4 linked regions of the Saccharomyces cerevisiae S288C genome follow. Changing the gene in region 2 together with the main gene of any one other region gives a genetic interaction. Each region holds a gene or a part of one and is shown on either strand. Other genes may lie near its edges.

Region 1 (3,346 bases), on a different chromosome or scaffold from region 2:
GCTTTTACTAACAAATTTTTTTATTATTTGTTTTCAATAGACGTTTCCTCTGACAGAAGAAAGGCCAGAAAGGCTTATTTCACTGCTCCATCCTCTGAACGTCGTGTTTTGTTATCTGCTCCATTATCCAAGGAATTGAGAGCTCAATATGGTATCAAGGCTTTGCCAATCAGAAGAGACGATGAAGTCTTGGTTGTTCGTGGTTCCAAGAAGGGTCAAGAAGGTAAGATTTCATCTGTTTACAGATTGAAGTTTGCTGTTCAAGTTGACAAGGTCACCAAGGAAAAGGTCAACGGTGCTTCCGTTCCAATTAACTTGCACCCATCCAAGCTTGTTATCACTAAGTTACACTTGGACAAGGACAGAAAGGCTTTGATCCAAAGAAAGGGTGGTAAATTGGAATAAACTAGCTCGACTTTAACATAGATCATACAAAAAATACAATAAATAAATCCTGTGTTTCTTTTATGTATATTTTTTATCAATTTCAATTTAGTTTAGTTTAGTTTCTTTAAAAATAAAATTGTAATTTCTCACATTCTGCCTTCGGGTCTCAAGGGCTGGTTGGTAGACGAATGCGCTTGTTTCTAGCTGAGCGGCAGATGCATGAATTCAATGCAAGAAAATGAGAAAACTTCCAATATTAAAATGTGATTGTTAATTATTAGTATATTTATGACAATATATATATGTACATAGGGTGATTATGAAGATGAGTAAGATGCGAATGGATATGAGGATATGAATCTTTTTAGAGACAATGAAGATGCAAAGAAGTAGTTAAGCACATTGACCTCAGGGTTGCTATATGCTACTTTTAGTCCGTTGGATTTCTGAAGCAGTATTGGCCACAAAAATTTCTTCATTATTTCTACGATTAGAGTTTCTTCTGGATTTTTCTCGTCCCTGAGACTTACTCCTTTTCAAGTCATTTTCAGCAGCAGCTTTGATTAAATCATATCTTGTGATTTTACTTGGAGAGCTATTGTGATGGGAACTTTGTCTGCATGTGACTGTATTAGTCAGAGATGTTATGGGCTTAACCATAAGGGAAGAAACTATGGCACGCATGAATGAATTACTGCTTTTACTGCTGTCATCTGTTGAGTTTGCTGAGTCTTCCGTTCTTGTAGTCTTGGCTGGTGTGAGTAACATTACGTATTGTTTCTGTAGAGAAGATAACTTATAACTTCCGTCTTGTCACTAGTTGTTTTAATTATATGTTTGTTACAAGTTTTTATGTATAGATATATGTTACAACTTTTAGAAGTATTGTGGACATAACAGAGAGAAGGGAATGTTGCTATATTTATATATTTTATATATTGCCCTCAAAACTGTATCTCATCTTTTTTTCTGCAATCCTTGCTTTCGTAATCTAAGTGTGGGTGACATGCTAAATCCGCGGCTTTCCTTAAGCTTTTTCACAAACCATCTATTATGTCCAGAAGCTCCGCTGATTATCCGTGGAAAAGGGTCTTATTCTGCCGTAGGAAACTTCTTCTCGAGAAAAAAGTGAGTTCACCCGCGGCGCTCTCGTAAAACCCGAGGGCCGATTCTTTCCCTCCGTGGAACAATCGGCCCCGCGGCGTCAGAGGGTATTATCTCCGCAAGTGATAGAACTCACATTTATTCTACGTTCTGCATGGTTTTGATTATCTTCTTTTGCACGATGTCACATACTTTTTCGATTACCGTCGCTTTACACAGTAACTGTTTAAAACGAGCGTTCTTAATTAATAACTGTAGGAGAGCAGGCTTTCGGCTTTCTTTATGAGAAATAAGGACTACTCCAGCTTGCCAAGTTTTATCCAGTTACACAAACGCTCAAGATCGCCTCGCTAAAATAGATGAAAAAATAAGAAAAATGAAATGTTCAACCTAATCCCTTTTGGATTTATCATTGAAAGATCGCTGATTTATTCTTTTCCAATACGCCTCGTAATTCTCTTTCAATGTCAAAGGCGCCAGATTGTAAGAATCTGTCATGTAAAATAATCTGACAATACGTAGTTTTAAAAACCAATTGATTAAACCAAGCTCTCTTATGATGCCAACTATAAAAAAATAAAGTGATCCAGTCAGTGCCCCCACGCTGAATCCCACGATTACTTGATCTAAATTGTGGTAGTGCAAGTAAACTCTGGAAAAGCAAACGCAAAACGATAATAAAGCCAATGCACCAGAAAAAATGCATTTTTCTAAGAAGTTTAGATTCTTCCAGGAAGTGTATATCTTCAGAGAGTTATAGGTAAAACAAAACCCCATGAATTGGGAGTGTGCACTGGGCATCCCGTAACCGGATCTTATAGTGTCATTTTGGAACGACGCACCGAACGATACGGGGCGTGGCTGTTTTATTATATTCTTGATCACGTTATTGAATATTTCGTTCATCAATTGGCCAAAGGCTACAATGCAGGCTTCTAACTCTCTTGTGATGATAAACCACGACAAATAAAAAGCTAGCACTAGGATGGGCATCAGCGAGAAATATGCACTAAGGAATGATAGAAAGTCATGCGAATCATAGAGAATGTATGTGTCATCGAATGGTATAACATTTGGATTTGGATTTATTGCAGCGGCGGTACTATTCATGATATGATCCGATTCAAAACAAATTTTGATGTAGATAAAATGCCTGGTATAATGAGTGGTAGAGAAGAAAATTAGACGAAAAGAATGAGAACGAAGAAATGATTTAAAGTGATCACAGTGGCAATCACTTTCCCCTTTTTAACGCGTGTTGAGCAATCGATTGATGTCTCTACCATATGTAGCATTTTCTCAGAAGGCAAACTTTTCTTTTTCTTTCTACTTTTCCAACAAGAAATTTTAAGTTTTCCCAGAAACCCGAATTCTCCTATTTCATCCACCACGTAAGAACGGTTTTCTTCCTGGCGTAATTAAAAGCATAAAGAAAAACTGAACAAGCTCTAGATGTAGATCAGGGTATACATGGTGCGCTTCAGTAAGTGTACTGTACCACTAGTTTGGCGTCTGTCACTTGAATTGCGGATTTGTGTAGAGCAATGAAAGCGCTGCTTCTGCCGCCATCAAAAAAAACTGAGTAGTTATTAAAGCCTATGTATGACAATATAAAAATGTATACAGATCAGTCTGTATATAAATCATGAAAATATCTTTAAAAATTTCAAGAGCGTGTTTCCGCTAAACCTTGTCATATTCAACACAAATCAGTATCATTCTCGGCGTAAATTACATGCGAATCTCCCTAATTGTGATTCAATATTCCAGCGAACCCCGAGAATTTAAATAGAACAGAGTATATGCATTTATTAACAGTTATTACGCCTTGTCCCCAGGGAGAGTAGTAAGGGAT
Region 2 (5,664 bases):
GAGTAAAAAAATCAGAGTATAATCTGCGAAGACTCGCAGACAAGAAGATCGGGTCTATGGCAATAAATCCCATGAGACCCTACGAGATTGCCACCGGATCACTTGATAGAACACTCAAAATCTGGGATACAAGAAACCTTGTTAAAAAGCCAGAGTGGTCACAATATGAAGACTATCCCAGTCATGAAATTGTCTCCACATATGACTCAAGATTGAGCGTCTCTGCAGTTTCTTACTCACCGACAGATGGCACCTTAGTGTGCAATGGCTATGACGATACCATCCGCTTATTCGATGTCAAGAGTAGGGATCACCTTTCTGCGAAGTTGGAGCCCAAACTAACGATTCAGCACAATTGCCAAACAGGAAGATGGACAAGCATCCTCAAGGCCAGGTTCAAGCCGAACAAGAATGTTTTTGCAATAGCTAACATGAAGCGCGCCATCGACATATACAACAGCGAAGGCCAGCAACTGGCTCACCTACCCACAGCTACTGTCCCAGCTGTAATTAGTTGGCACCCGCTGCGAAACTGGATTGCAGGTGGTAATTCTAGCGGCAAAATATTCCTCTTTACTGATGACTCCGGAACCATAAAGCAGGAAGAATGAAAACATCTCAGTTACCCGCACTGCCTTTTTTCTCTCCCGCTTTTCAGCAGAACGAGGCGACAAGCGAAGGAACAAAACAAAACAAAAGAAAACAAAAATATTGAAATGCAAGAACATGGACACATAAAAACATTTTTGATCCGGTCGAAAGAAAACGATCAGAAATTTTTAGCTGCTTGCTTAGAAGAAAAGAAAAGAAAATTGCAGAGAAAAAGCTATTTATTGTTTCTGTCCTTCGCTTTAAAACATAGAGATATTTTGTCCTTTTTATCATTGCTTATTATAAATGCATCATAACTCACAGTCTTTGAGCTCTGGACACATCAGGAGCCCCGAGGATGAAAATGTGGCACCTATAGGTAATCTTAAACACAGGACTGGATCCCTCAGTCATATTTCATCTGCGCACCCGAGGGTCGCACTTAGCGACGTTACCAATATAGTTGCGACAAACTCTAGCAACAACAGCATAAGTAAGCCAAAAGTCGCCCCAATTAAAGAAAGATTGGATTCAGCTGCGATAATTGAGGAAGAAAGGCTGGATGCGAATAGTGTTGCACAGAGAAAAGAAGCTGATCATAACGATTTGTTAACGGACAGGGAACAAGAGGAACCCGTTGAAGACGACGGAGAAAGCGAAGAGGATGAAGAAGAAGACCAGGAGCCTCTACTGTTGCAACATTATGCTAGTGATACATTGGTCTGGGAGCATGCATTTAGAACTTACTATAGAACTACATTAGATCCCAATGATGATGACGTGTACGATGTGGTCATGGTTGCCGAATTATCTAATGAGATATTCGAGTATATGAGGAAATTGGAAGACCTGTATAAACCCAACCCGTACTACATGGATAAACAACCAGAGTTAAGATGGTCGTTTCGAAGCACACTGATTGATTGGATCGTCCAAGTACATGAAAAATTTCAACTTTTACCTGAAACTCTATATCTCTGCATTAATATAATAGACAGATATCTGTGCAAAGAAGTTGTTCCTGTAAATAAGTTCCAACTTGTGGGTGCAGCCTCACTCTTCATTGCTGCTAAATATGAGGAAATCAACTGTCCTACAATCAAGGATTTCGTATACATGTCAGAAAACTGCTACTCAAGGAACGACCTGCTGGACGCAGAAAGAACTATTTTGAACGGCTTAGAATTTGAATTGGGTTGGCCTGGTCCGATGTCATTTTTACGAAGAATCAGTAAGGCAGACGATTACGAGCATGATACGAGAACACTGGCCAAATATCTATTGGAATCCACAATAATGGACCATCGACTGGTTTCCGCTCAACCTAGTTGGTTAGCTGCCGGTGCATACTTTCTAAGTAAGATTATTCTGGGCCAAAATCAGTGGTCTCTGGCGCACGTCTACTATTCCAATTATACACAAGAACAAATTCTTCCGTTGGCCACCATTATTTTAGAAAATTGCAGATATGCCTCTAAACGTCATAACGCCATATGGAGAAAATATTCTTCACGTCGTTATTTGCATTCTTCACAGATCGTAGCGAAGTGGATAGCATTAGCTGAACACAGAGTAGAAAGATCTAACTAAAAAGCCTCAGCTCGAGACATGGCATCAACAAAGGAAAAAGGATTCATTACCGTCTTTTGCACACAAAAACTTTAATCATCAGTAATAAACATATGTAACTTTTTAACCTTAAAACATACTAATCTCCGTACTTTTTTTAAAGCATCCACAATCCATATGGATATGACGCGAAATTAGCTCGGCGGTTAATTATTAAAAAATTGAAGCTAAAATCAAGGTTAACAAAACAACTCATTCAAAATAACTTACTCATTCATATACTGCCACCAAATGGAATATGTCCCATGAATGGCTCATAAGCGCATCGGAAACAATGAGAAGCATTGGTAATGGGGAAGGTTTGCGGGATAAAGGTGCTGTCGTTGCCAACAATGACGGAGAATTTAACGAAGGTGATACAAATCGTGAAGAGGATAGCTCTACCATTTTCTCCTTCGATTTTGACGAGGAGATTGTAATGTGTATTGACTTTTCTGGAGGAAAACTCGGGTGTTCTATTTTAGATTATCATACCAAGACTTTGAAAGCGTTTGACCAGGACTACGTGGTCAATAAAACAACAATTTCGTCTCATGATCTTATCGATGATGCAGATATGTCTTCAAACGACATAAGTCTGTTACTTGGACTTTTAATAATGGAAGCAAACCCAACTGTATGCCTAGTGCCGGCAAGATTGGAGGATTGGATTTTCGACTACATTAAGACAAAATGCGATGAGATAAACTGTAGGCTAGAACTACAACCAATAAAACGTTTCAAAAAATGGGACTTATTGCAGTCATTGCAGTTAAGGGGTCATGATAATCAGACTATATTGAACGACATATTATCAAATAGCAAATTTACCACCACAGTCACCTTAGGTACAGTGGGATGCATCCTTGCAAATCATGAACAACTTGGTGAATACAATGACAGTACTGCTTCAAGTAATATGGTAACAGGACGATTAGTTCAGAATGCTTTTGAAGATGTGATACATGGCATAAGGTATATCGACATAAGGGATCGGATGGTACTGGATGAAAATACTATATCGGCTTTGCATATTTTTCCAACAGCTCATAAACTGGGCCATGATAAGATGATGAGAAATGGTTTCTTTAGTGTATTTGAACTATTCAATCAAGTGTCTTCGGACTACGCCAGGAGAATTTTGAAGTCTTGGCTTATTAACCCATTAACCAATAAAAAACGGATAGAAACAAGATACAGCATCATAAGAACCTTATTGGATAAACAAAACGCCATCATTTTTAGTGACCTTAGCCAATCAATAAAAAGATGTCCAGACGCTTTTGGGTTTATAAATCAGTTAAGAAGTGGTAAATCGACATTAGGGACATGGTCCAAGGTTGCAAGTTTTTTAGAAAAAGGAATAGCTATATTTCAACTGGTGTCGTCCTTGAAATTAGGTTCAGACGAAGCCAACATTTTACATGATATCAAAAATAAGGTTGATATATCAGCTTTAAAGGAATGTTTGAGAAAAGTAGAAACGGTAATAGATTTTGACACATCAAGAGATACCAAGACGCTCACGATAAATACGGGGGTTGACAACAGATTAGACGAATGCAGAAATATTTATAATCATTTGGAAGGGATCTTACTGGATGTCGCAAGAGAAACTCAAATTTTTTTACTGAATACTATGCCTCAAGAAGATTGTAAGACAACAAAGAGTTTAGAAAAGTTAGTGAATGCTGTTTATATTCCCCAATTAGGATACTTAGTAACCATTAGCGTCTTAATGGAACCTTTATTGGATGGCATTCCAAACCTTCAATGGGAAGAGATCTTTAGGAGTTCAGAAAATATATACTTCAAAAATGGCAGGGTTCTTGAGCTGGATGAAACATACGGCGATATTTATGGCGCGATTTCAGATTTTGAAATTGAAATCCTGTTTTCCTTACAAGAACAAATTCTGAGAAGAAAGACTCAACTCACTGCTTACAATATACTGCTTAGTGAACTGGAAATATTATTATCGTTCGCTCAAGTGTCTGCTGAAAGGAATTATGCAGAGCCTCAATTGGTGGAAGATGAGTGCATATTGGAAATTATTAACGGAAGACATGCTTTGTATGAAACATTCCTTGATAATTATATCCCCAATAGCACAATGATTGATGGCGGGCTATTTTCTGAATTAAGTTGGTGTGAACAAAATAAAGGAAGAATCATTGTAGTCACTGGCGCTAATGCATCTGGAAAGTCTGTATATCTTACACAGAATGGTTTAATTGTGTACTTGGCACAAATTGGTTGTTTTGTTCCAGCAGAGAGAGCGAGAATTGGAATAGCGGATAAAATATTAACTAGAATCAGGACTCAAGAAACTGTTTATAAGACTCAAAGTTCCTTTTTGCTAGATTCTCAACAAATGGCAAAATCACTGAGTTTGGCCACTGAAAAAAGTCTCATTTTAATTGATGAATACGGCAAAGGTACTGATATTTTAGATGGACCTTCACTATTTGGTTCCATAATGCTCAATATGTCCAAGAGTGAAAAATGTCCACGCATAATCGCATGTACACACTTTCATGAACTATTTAACGAAAATGTACTCACAGAGAATATAAAAGGTATCAAACATTACTGCACTGATATACTTATCAGCCAAAAATATAATCTTTTAGAAACAGCACATGTCGGAGAAGATCATGAAAGTGAGGGAATCACATTCCTATTCAAAGTAAAGGAGGGGATCTCAAAGCAGTCATTTGGCATATATTGCGCAAAAGTATGTGGTTTGAGCAGAGATATTGTGGAAAGGGCTGAAGAACTATCTCGCATGATTAATAGAGGCGATGACGTAGTTCAGCAATGTGGAAATCTGACCGAAAAGGAGATGAGAGAATTCCAAAAGAATCAGGAAATAGTGAAAAAGTTTTTATCTTGGGATTTGGATCTCGAAACTACAACAACTTCCGAGAATCTCAGGCTTAAATTGAAAAATTTCCTTCGCTAATATATCAAAGAATAAAAAAACGCTTACTTGTAACATATTTAAGTTAATAAATGTCAAGCGGTTGCTCTTTTCTTATAAAAATATATTGTATGGGTACAAAAATTTTGACACCACTACTTGGGTAAATACTACATATGTAAATTTTTTTAATTCTTGAATTTAACAGACCTCGTCAAACCCTTCTTGATACCTGTCTTTTCACCTTCATAGACGCCAGATTGACCACCAGAATAAACTGCACGAACCGACTTGAGTTTCTTTTGTGCCTTTTGGTATTTCTTTCTCTTCTTGACACGAGAGTTTCTGTTATCCTTGTTTCTTTTAGGCGTTAGACCCTTGTTCTTTAAAATTTGATAATTAATGGCACGCTTACCATCACCTGAGACATTTTCAGCCAATTCCGCCAATTTTCCTTCCCTTGCAGCAATAACAGCATTCTTATGAGCCTCTTTACGAGATATTTTCTTGTCTTGTTTACCTCTCTGAACCTGTTGATAATA
Region 3 (5,155 bases), on a different chromosome or scaffold from region 2:
ATTTTTCCTCCTGTTCAGAGGTATAATTATATCTTTTCAGCATGCTTGGAAAATGATGCAGTAATATCTCATAACATTCAATTAATTCAATGATATTTGGTATTTGAAGATAAGAAGTTCTGCAATGTTCTGAACAGAACCACAGTCCAGCGCCCAGAAACTTCTTAGGGTTAATTTGGTAGTGTGCATTACAAACCAAATCTCTCAGGTAATCGTAGTTTAGTTTGTACTTCATAGTTTTCGCATTAGCGTATGCGAAACAATTGTGACAAACTTCCTTCCTGAACTCATAGGAAATAGATGTTCCTGTAAAATTACTGACTTGCAAGACTGTTGTCCCTTTAGGAATATTACCATTACTGAAACAAGCCCTACCGCCCCATTTAGTTTGCCTAACCTGGAAAAATGGGGAAATTTCATGTACGTCTCCATCAATAGTCATTTTTAAATTTTAGGTTATTTTGTGTTTGCATATATAAATGGTATATATATATATATATATATTCATATAAATCTAGGGCTACATTTATAATATCAGAGATACATAAAACGGTAATGCAACAGTGGAGCAGTATTGTATCGCACGTTTCTTTTTTGTTTTTGTTTTTTAAATTTTTCCAGGTTTTGACAACGTGATGAGGTAATCTTCTGTTTTGCATATCCGCGCAATTTAAAATGCAGGCGACAAACCTTGTTCCAGGATTAAGGTTCTCTTTACTTCAATTCTGCAATGGGTACCATAGAAGGTCTCCCGTGGGCGCATTCGAATGGGTTATGGCATCGCGAGAGCTTGCTAATTAAAATTATGCACTCTTGCCGGGTTAATTCATCTCCAAACATAACAGCAGATCTGCATGCCTTGCTGTTAAGAATTTCATGAAAGACCGTTGGAACGCAGCTTGAGTACTTCCACCAATATAATTTATCAACCGAAGTGTAGTTTTCGAAATGGGATAAATCCATTGGAAGTTTTTTGAAATCCTTCAGGTCATGAGCATGTTGCAGCAAGACCATTTTTAAGTAGTCTTTATCCCCGTTATATTTGGAAGTTAACATCTCAGGCAGTGTTTTAATTTCCAAAAGTGAGGTTTCCATTGTTCCCTCAATTGTTTCATAGCCAATTCCCCACTTTTTAAATTCACTTTGATAATGCTTAAATAAGTCAGCCTCAGTACGATCAACTTCAATGCAACAATCCTTGAGGTCTCGTGCAACAAAAGTTCCGGTTACAACTTCTGTCAACAGGCTATAAAATAGCTCTTCTAGTCTTATCCTCTCATCGCAAGCATGTTGATCAACTAGAACTAATAGTGGGCAATTATGAATAGATTGGTCTAAACAACGTATGAGAATAAATTTTTTATCTACTTGATTAATCACTTCATATTTTGCCAGGACAGATCTTGATATTGAAAAATCTGTTATGGTTTTTCCTATACTGTCATAATCTTCTGTAAAACCACTATCGTAGGGCCTGGAAGAGAGTTTATTCCGTAACCTTGATTTCTGACCGTCGATTCTTATATTCTTGATTTTTTCGTAGTTTATTGTACTATTGTTTATTCTACATCCATTGACAGCGGGTTTTCCTATGTATGAATTAATGCGTGCAATCTTCATTTTTGAATTTAATACTTGATTACGTTTACTGATTTGGATTCGACTATCAGGCAATGTTGCCGTCTTCTGTGAACAATTGACTATTTCGAAAGATGAATCTGATTTATCAGGCGTTAAGTATCCTTGAAATGTCAGAAAGGAGCGAATGGTCTTAACGATCAATGGTTCAATGGTACGTATATGGGAAGGCTTAACAATTTTCTTTGCTGGATCTTGTAACAGGTCATCGATAGTTTGGGGGCACCGAACATCAAGGATGAAGACGGGATGTGATCGATACGGTTTTCCCACGCTTTTAGTTTTGAGTAAACTCATGCCTTTCTCCCCGAAATCTTGTGCTTGGAATAAAGAATCGACGTATCCTTGAAAGGCGCTGTCCGCATAACGTCTGCCATTGATATATATAAATTGAAGATCCTTCAATCCAACGGGCATCTTCGATATGATCCCTTCAATCTGATATTCATTAAACTTCAAGGAAACTTTCTTAAGCATATCCGGTGGTATTATTGCCCCAAACACATTTCTCAGTACTTGAGACATTTGCTGGTGCTTTGTTAACCCCTCAGTTATGTTCTTTGAGCGGAAAAGAACTTCTGTATTGATTCTGAGTTTGTCTGTATATTGTACGTTGAGTGAAATCATCGGGTGCATTACCAGTATCTGTAGCATATCTGCCTTTATTGTGTTAAAAGTCTTGAAAGGGGGTTCTTCCTTTAGTATTCTGCGCCGGACAGGTAAATTATACAGCATATCTTCAACAATAACAACAGTACCAGACTTTGTTCGGCTCCAAGGACAAATTTTCCAAAAAGGATCTATTGGGAGTATGGTATTCTCACTCAACATGACGCTTTTGGATGGAAATTTTCTCATCCATGCAGAGTTGTAATCCTTTTTCTTGGAACAAACAAACAGATTAGAGACATTAGAAATGCTATATAGGGCGTCTCCTCTGTAACCGTAGGTTTTCATCGTTACTAAATCATTCATCTTTCGTATTTTGGAAGTATAATTTTGTGTGGCCAATATATTTAGGTCACTTCGAGTCAAACCAATACCATCATCGTAAACTGCAAAGCTCAAATTAGGGAGGTCGATCATGACGTCGATAGTGGTAGCGTGTGCATCTACAGAATTTTGAACTATTTCTCTAACCGCTGATGCTAGCGATACCGTGCATGCCTGAGATTTAAGTCTTTCAGAAACATCAGAATCTAATTTCCTAATATGCTGGCTCATTTTCTTTTTGAGTTGACGAGTTCACGTTCATTCTTCCTTGAAAGCCTCGCTGGTTTATGTATCGGTGGTTGAAATCATCATTCGATGTTTATTGCAAACTATTGATCTTTTTTTCCTGCCCCTTCTCGTGGCGCTCGCAAATAAACGCAAACTAAATATAAGCGTACAAACAGACAGATTTTGTGCTACTTATTGATTATTTAGAAAAGCTACTATTGTTCTTGAAAGTCATAATAGAACTACTTATATATGTATCAATGGGGTTGAATTTGCGCTTTATGTATTTTTTAAGGAATGATATGAAAGTTGTCTCTAGTCTATTTATTGAATCGTAAATCAAAAAATACTAGTGATCCCATATAGGATAACTAGTAAAGGTTTCGTTAAAAGTAGCTTTTTTTCTCGATTCAACGTCACGCATTAAATGTGGGTACCGTTGTTAGCAGAACCTGTAACATTACTAGCATCGGCAGTTATAGTAACGTATTTAACAACAGGCTCCGCCGTAGTAGTAACCACTTCGGTAACTGCAGCAGCTGTAACTGTAACATACTTGGTAGACGCACTACAGTACTGTTCATCGGCGGATGTGGTTTGAATCATCTGAGATTGATGTTCAGCAGAGACTAACTTTTCTAAGGCATCAACATTGGAGGCGGCGTCCCCAGCTGTGGATGTCGCTATTGTATTACTAGCTTGGGAATTATATACAGTAACCAATAAGGTTGAGGTCAAAGTAGAGGTGTATGTACTGCCCGATTCGGTTACTGTAGAAGCAATTTCTGTGACGCTCGTGGAAATCTGTTCAGCCTTCTCGTTGGCGGATTCCGTAGATAGAGTTATTATGTAAGTAGAGGTCAGAGTAGACGTGTAGGTGGTGTCTGTGTCAGAATAGGTGGTGGTGTATTCATTTGTGGACGTAGTTAGGCTAGGCGTGCTTGCAGTAGGTGTACTTGCAGTAGGTGTACTAATAATAGCAGCTGATTGGGAGGTAGTGAACCAGTAGGTAGAGTAAAAAGTAGATGTTATGTAGAAGGTGGTTGTTTCATCGCTGTACGTTAATGTTGTCTCTTGAGGTGAAACAGAGTATGTTGGAGTTAATGTCTTCGTGTATGGTGTATAGCTCGTAGTTTCATTGACATATAAGGCAGAAGCGAAGTTGGAGGTTACCAGTAGTAAACTACACAATATTTTGAAAATCATTGCGATATATATTCTAATTTGTTGGTTGTGTTAGACAACTAGTGTACAAGAAAGAGACTAGATGGCCATAACGGATCTTGATAATTCATTTTCTTACGTCTTTTAAATACACTCCCTCTCCATCACATACAGATTGATTTAATGTCTACCTCTTCTAAGCCATCTGAAATTCTTGGGTCTTTCTCTGTTTACGGTTATTTGAAACACGAAATTACTTAAGAACACGAAATGCCAATTATTAGCGTCGCGAATTGAATATCCAATGCGGCGGGAAAATCAAAAAACGAAAATAGAATAGGAAAAACTGCCGTAGTTATAGAATCAAACCTGAGCGCCAGTTTCATTCTTCTAGCGGAGAATGCTTTCCCAAACAATAACCCACAGATTATGTGTTGAAGAGTCTAGGCTTGTGGAAATTGAAATCAAAATGTTTGTTCCCTTTAAAAAAAATCAATTAAGCAAGGAAAGGAAATAAACAGTGCATGCTTTCCTTATCCTTGGAATACTATATTATGCTACCATAGCTGGAAATGTTGTTATCCTTGTTAGGCACTTCATTTGAGACTTCCGATAAATCAGGAATTTCGTCATTTAGGAATGTGTTCGTTTCAAAATTCTCTGCATTGGTTATCGTTAGGCTCTCAGAATGTAACCTGATGACATTGTCGACACAAAAGTACTGGAAGCAATTCAGTAAGATAGGAAAGACAAACATGACCAGAAAAACTTGAAAGTTTGGCCATGAATCTGACCAGCCAAGGATAAGATCGGCGAACCAGTATGCCAAGTCTTCTAAGTAGTTTAGTATTAGAAACACGCAGAACTTCATCACGCCCAGCCCAACAATGAATATAAGCAGCTGTTTCACGAAGGCAGAGAATAAGGGTTTTCTGGGGTGGCTCCCAACGGTTTTAGATGGAAAATAATTACCACTTTCAATGTTTTGGAAGTGTAAGGATTTTAGCACTTTTTCAATTATGTATAAGCACAACCAAAGAATGGGAATCCCAACAGTAGTATCCAGGAGTAAGTTAAGAAAATACCAATCGCATTGATCCTCATCATCATTGCCTTTTGCAGTGATTGCGAA
Region 4 (4,072 bases), on a different chromosome or scaffold from region 2:
CCGGCCCAAGCCTTAACATCTTTGACTGTGATTGCATCAATTTTCTTGAAAGCCTCACCCAGAGACAGTTTGGAGCCCTTGATTAGGACTTCTGCGCCTAACAAGTTAGCGTCATTGACGGGATTACCAGATTCGTATAACTGCCCTAATTGTAATTTCAACAGCGATTTGGCACGTTCAACTTCAGTATCAGTGACAGAAATGGTCAATCTGTTCCATTGTTTCAAAGTGAAATGGATGAGGTCGTCAATCATGGTAACGTTTCTCGTGGCCGTAGAGAACCCCCATAAACCGGAATCTTTGTAAGAAAGAGAGAAATGATTGAAATTGTCGCATAATTGGTACTCCTGTATGTTGTCTAACAATTTGATACCTTGTAATCTAGAAGCGGGTTCGAAGGCGTTGTATGAGCCGAAAATTTGGGCGGCTAATTTAGCAACAAAATAATTTGGTGAATTGACAGGTTCACCTTCCACAGCCAGCGAAATCCACGCCTTTGGCAAGGTGTCGTCTCTCAATCTAACTTCGGAACCCAAGAAAGCGGCCTTTTTCTTGAGTACGGGCTTGGTACCGGTTTGCAAACTTAGGTTTTTGGATTCGATGGAATTTACTAAATCCTCATGTTTGATATTACCGGTACCAACAACAACAGCATTTGAATTCAAGAAATGGTTATTGGCAAAAGATTCCAGATCAGCAACAACTAAATTCTCCAAGGACTCCAAAGTACCTCTAGTAGGCAAAGATAATGGAGTGTTTTGGAAGGCGGTGGAGTGTAAATGTTCCAAAACTCTGTTGGGATGGTCGTTTTCTTCAAAATCTTGAACTTGCTTCAAGACAGATTTCTTCGTGGCCTCGAAGTTAGAAGAAGATAGCAAATTAGCCTTTTGTTGGATGAAAGACTGATTCAAGAAGTCTAGTGATTTATCGGTAGAACCTGGCAAAGAAGATACAATGTAAGATTGGAAGTCTCTGGAGATATTGGAAGACAATGCCAAACCTTCCTTGGCGGCAACAGCAGAGTTTTCTTTGGATAGAAAGATGTTCTTCCATAAATTGGAAACCCCGTTGTTATAAGGGTTTTCGTTGGCAGCACCGGAGCCGAAGACAACACCGACAGAGGCTGTGTGAGCGGAAGGATTATGCTCAGTGGCTACAACTATACCGTTAGATAATTGCGTTACTTCGGCCTTGGGGGTTGCTACAGCTGTAGCCAAAGACCTCTTGAACTGGTTAGATACAGTCTTTGAAGTTACTGTTCTTAGCATTTTTTTTGTTTATATATCTTGTGTTTTCTTTCTCAGTGATATGGTGACGATGATGTTCTTCTCGTATTATTACTCCACAATTGTCTTGATCAGCAATGGTAGCAATTTAATATTAGGATTCGTTACCTATACGAACAGGGATGATATAATATTTTTTCTGTGAAAGCTATTGCTTTATTATACGCTGTTTTCCTCGAATAAGACGGGGAAAGAGAGTAGGGGAATATCGGTTAGGGAGCGCTGTAGGCCTTTAATTTTCTTGTTTGGTTTTTATTTGGTGCAGCTGACAGCGCGGGCCCTTGAACTTCTGGAGGACAAAAAACACTGTTAATTTATTGGCATTTCATTGGTGCAGAAAGCGTGCTGTCCGGGTCACAGTTAAAGTTCATATACATGTTACCCTACCCAGTCCGGGTTATGTAAATCGTGAAAAAGAATATCTGGTTTTAAAATCTCTCTTTTCTTTTTCCCCCTGGTGGGTATGGGTGAAATGCTAGAGAGGCAAAAAAAAAGGTTGCCAAGTAAAGCGAAGTATTTGAAGTATACTGCAAGCATCACCGAAACAGGAAATCACGAAGCTGACTCATCTGTGATTTTCCGTCCCCACCATAGTGATGTAACATGCAGTAACGCACGGCGGGCCGAAAGTCGGACTTTACCCCAGATTTGTAGTTGTATCCTATTGGATCACGGGCGACGGACAAGACCCGAAGTGCGGACCGGCATGGTCAGCTTGCACGGAAGCTTTAAGGGTTTCCCTTGTTTCGGCATTAGAAGAGGCATTTCGCACGTTTTACCGGGTCAGAAACTTCGAGGAAGCTGTGACAATTGGAAAAAAAGGCAAAACTAAATGCAATGTATCCGGTTGCCCATGCATTATTTGTGATGTTTTCGGATGTAGTTCGCTGCGCTCCGCGGCGATATATCCTCTAGCGAGAGGCATATGTATAAATATATATATATATATCTAACAAAAGCATTCAAGTTTCTTTCTCTGGTGTTACGTCTTTGTTCGACTTTCTCTGCTTACAGCCCTGTATGACCAAAGAAAAAATAAAAAGACAGCTACATACCAGCAGAAATTTTTTATAGTATTACACTATACATCCAAGTTTTTTCACAATTATTTATTGTTTTTCTCACATAGAAAATTCCGCATACTGCGATTATAATGAACTCTACAACCCCATCGATTCAAGATCAATATATTTTGGCCAGCAAAGTACGCTCCAAGCTGGCAAAATGCGTTAGCGTGACTACTAAAAACAAAGACTACAACCTGAGAGTTTTAGTCGGGCACGCAAACTTGCTGGATAAGATTACAGAAAATGTGGAAACTCATAATGCTGCAACCAACGCCCTTGCCGGAGACCCTTTCAGTAAAGGACCTGAAAACTTGTCCATCGAACATATCGAATTGTCCAATGCTAATGCTAGTAAAAATGACGTCGGTAAGGAGGAAAATGCAGAAAAGACGATAGAAAGTGAAGATTACTGTGATTTTTACTCTAGTGACGAAGATCCAGATGCTGACACTCTATCTTCTACTGACAGTGAAGACGATGATGATTATGAAGACTATGATTTTGAGTACGATTACTCTGGCGGTGATTATAACAAGAAAATTGACATGTACTTTAGTTTTCACACCGCACCTAATTATCAATATTTGACTCACACAAACTCTCATTCCGAGCAGACGGATGAACTTGCCGAATCAACGCCGCGCTACAATGCTCTTCCCGCCACTGCCTCTACGACAGAGGAAGAACAGGACACTGAAACGCTCGATGCTGTGAGTTTGCATAGTTCAGCGCCAATCTTCCGTGTGCTCTCTCGGCGGGTAAATGGACAAGAAGATGACAGCGAAAACGAGAGTAGTAGCGATGTCGACGATGGTTCCGTACCATTAACGAGATTTCATTCTTGTCCTATCACAGCATAAATTAAAATGAAGGAAATAACACAACTTCGTTTTGCATTATCATATTCACATCTGCATCCTATTTTTTTTTTCTCATTGTTGTTGTATCATTATTACTAACTAGTGCATCACCACTTGTCTAAATACCAAACGCAAAATATATATATTCTTACTTCATAACGTTCAAAATAAAGTTTTTAGTTTAAAATAAAATAAAATAAAAAAAAAAAAAAAAAAAAAAAAGAACCTTTTGTTTTCGCCCAGTATATGGGTAAATTAACGGTTCCTTTTATTAGTCATTTTCAACTCTATACCATGCTCCAAAACGGCGTTCGGCACAGGTTTTTTATTTTACCACGATAACTCAATATGTACAAGATTATTGCATAGGCGAAAAGTAAAGTTTTAATATGGTACTTTGCGCAATAAAACTACGAATTCAAACGTAAAATAAGACTACAGAGACTAAGGTAAGACCTGTTCTGCTCAGATAAGTGGCGTTGTCCAAGTATCAGTTCTACGGGAACGTAAGAAAAAATTTTGCGTGAGCTCTCTTGAGAACCAAACCTTCTTTTTTTTTTTTACGAAATGCTATTTCGTTGCAGTGAGAAGGATTTTTTGAAAACAGAAATGAGTTAGGCCAGGCTGCTCGTACTCGCTTAAATTAGGAGTGCGAGACTGAAGACCTATGGTAAACAAGACTTTTTTTAACTAATCAAGCATGCGTAATGTTATTTTTACAAAATAAAGGTTACAATTTGAGATTATGCAGAAGCATATGTCTATATGTATGCAACAAATATGATGAGGCCTATGCAGATTATAAGTAAATTATTTTTTTTTTTTTTTGGCTTTGACATTATCATGATAAGGTGCTACT

The links.
Region 1: mutations in MSH5 (region 2) and YGR035C together harm fitness more than expected from each alone (negative genetic interaction), as found in Saccharomyces cerevisiae (one large-scale study listed by BioGRID).
Region 3: of MSH5 (region 2) and MLH3, changing one enhances a phenotype caused by changing the other (phenotypic enhancement), as found in Saccharomyces cerevisiae (one study listed by BioGRID).
Region 4: mutations in MSH5 (region 2) and ECM13 together harm fitness more than expected from each alone (negative genetic interaction), as found in Saccharomyces cerevisiae (one large-scale study listed by BioGRID).

What each region holds. Positions count from the first base shown.
Region 1 is NC_001139.9:556,268-559,613, forward strand, and holds YGR035C (uncharacterized protein), read right to left. Parts: upstream 1,156-3,346; coding exon 805-1,155; downstream 1-804. Other genes in the region: 60S ribosomal protein uL24 RPL26B, read left to right, coding at 41-405; YGR035W-A (uncharacterized protein), read left to right, coding at 1,298-1,519; CAX4 (dolichyldiphosphatase), read right to left, coding at 1,882-2,601.
Region 2 is NC_001136.10:175,876-181,539, forward strand, and holds MSH5 (MutS family protein MSH5), read left to right. Parts: upstream 1-2,458; coding exon 2,459-5,164; downstream 5,165-5,664. Other genes in the region: CMR1 (Cmr1p), read left to right, coding at 1-611; B-type cyclin CLB3, read left to right, coding at 898-2,181; rRNA-processing protein SAS10, read right to left, coding at 5,311-5,664. UniProt on the Saccharomyces cerevisiae protein: Involved in meiotic recombination. Facilitate crossovers between homologs during meiosis.
Region 3 is NC_001148.4:238,636-243,790, forward strand, and holds MLH3 (mismatch repair protein MLH3), read right to left. Parts: upstream 2,863-5,155; coding exon 715-2,862; downstream 1-714. Other genes in the region: SET6 (Set6p), read right to left, coding at 1-442; SVS1 (Svs1p), read right to left, coding at 3,283-4,065; YPL162C (uncharacterized protein), read right to left, coding at 4,571-5,155. UniProt on the Saccharomyces cerevisiae protein: Involved in DNA mismatch repair (MMR), correcting insertion-deletion loops (IDLs) resulting from DNA replication, DNA damage or from recombination events between non-identical sequences during meiosis.
Region 4 is NC_001134.8:134,249-138,320, forward strand, and holds ECM13 (Ecm13p), read left to right. Parts: upstream 1-2,439; coding exon 2,440-3,213; downstream 3,214-4,072. Other genes in the region: ubiquinol--cytochrome-c reductase subunit COR1, read right to left, coding at 1-1,268; YBL044W (uncharacterized protein), read left to right, coding at 1,750-2,118.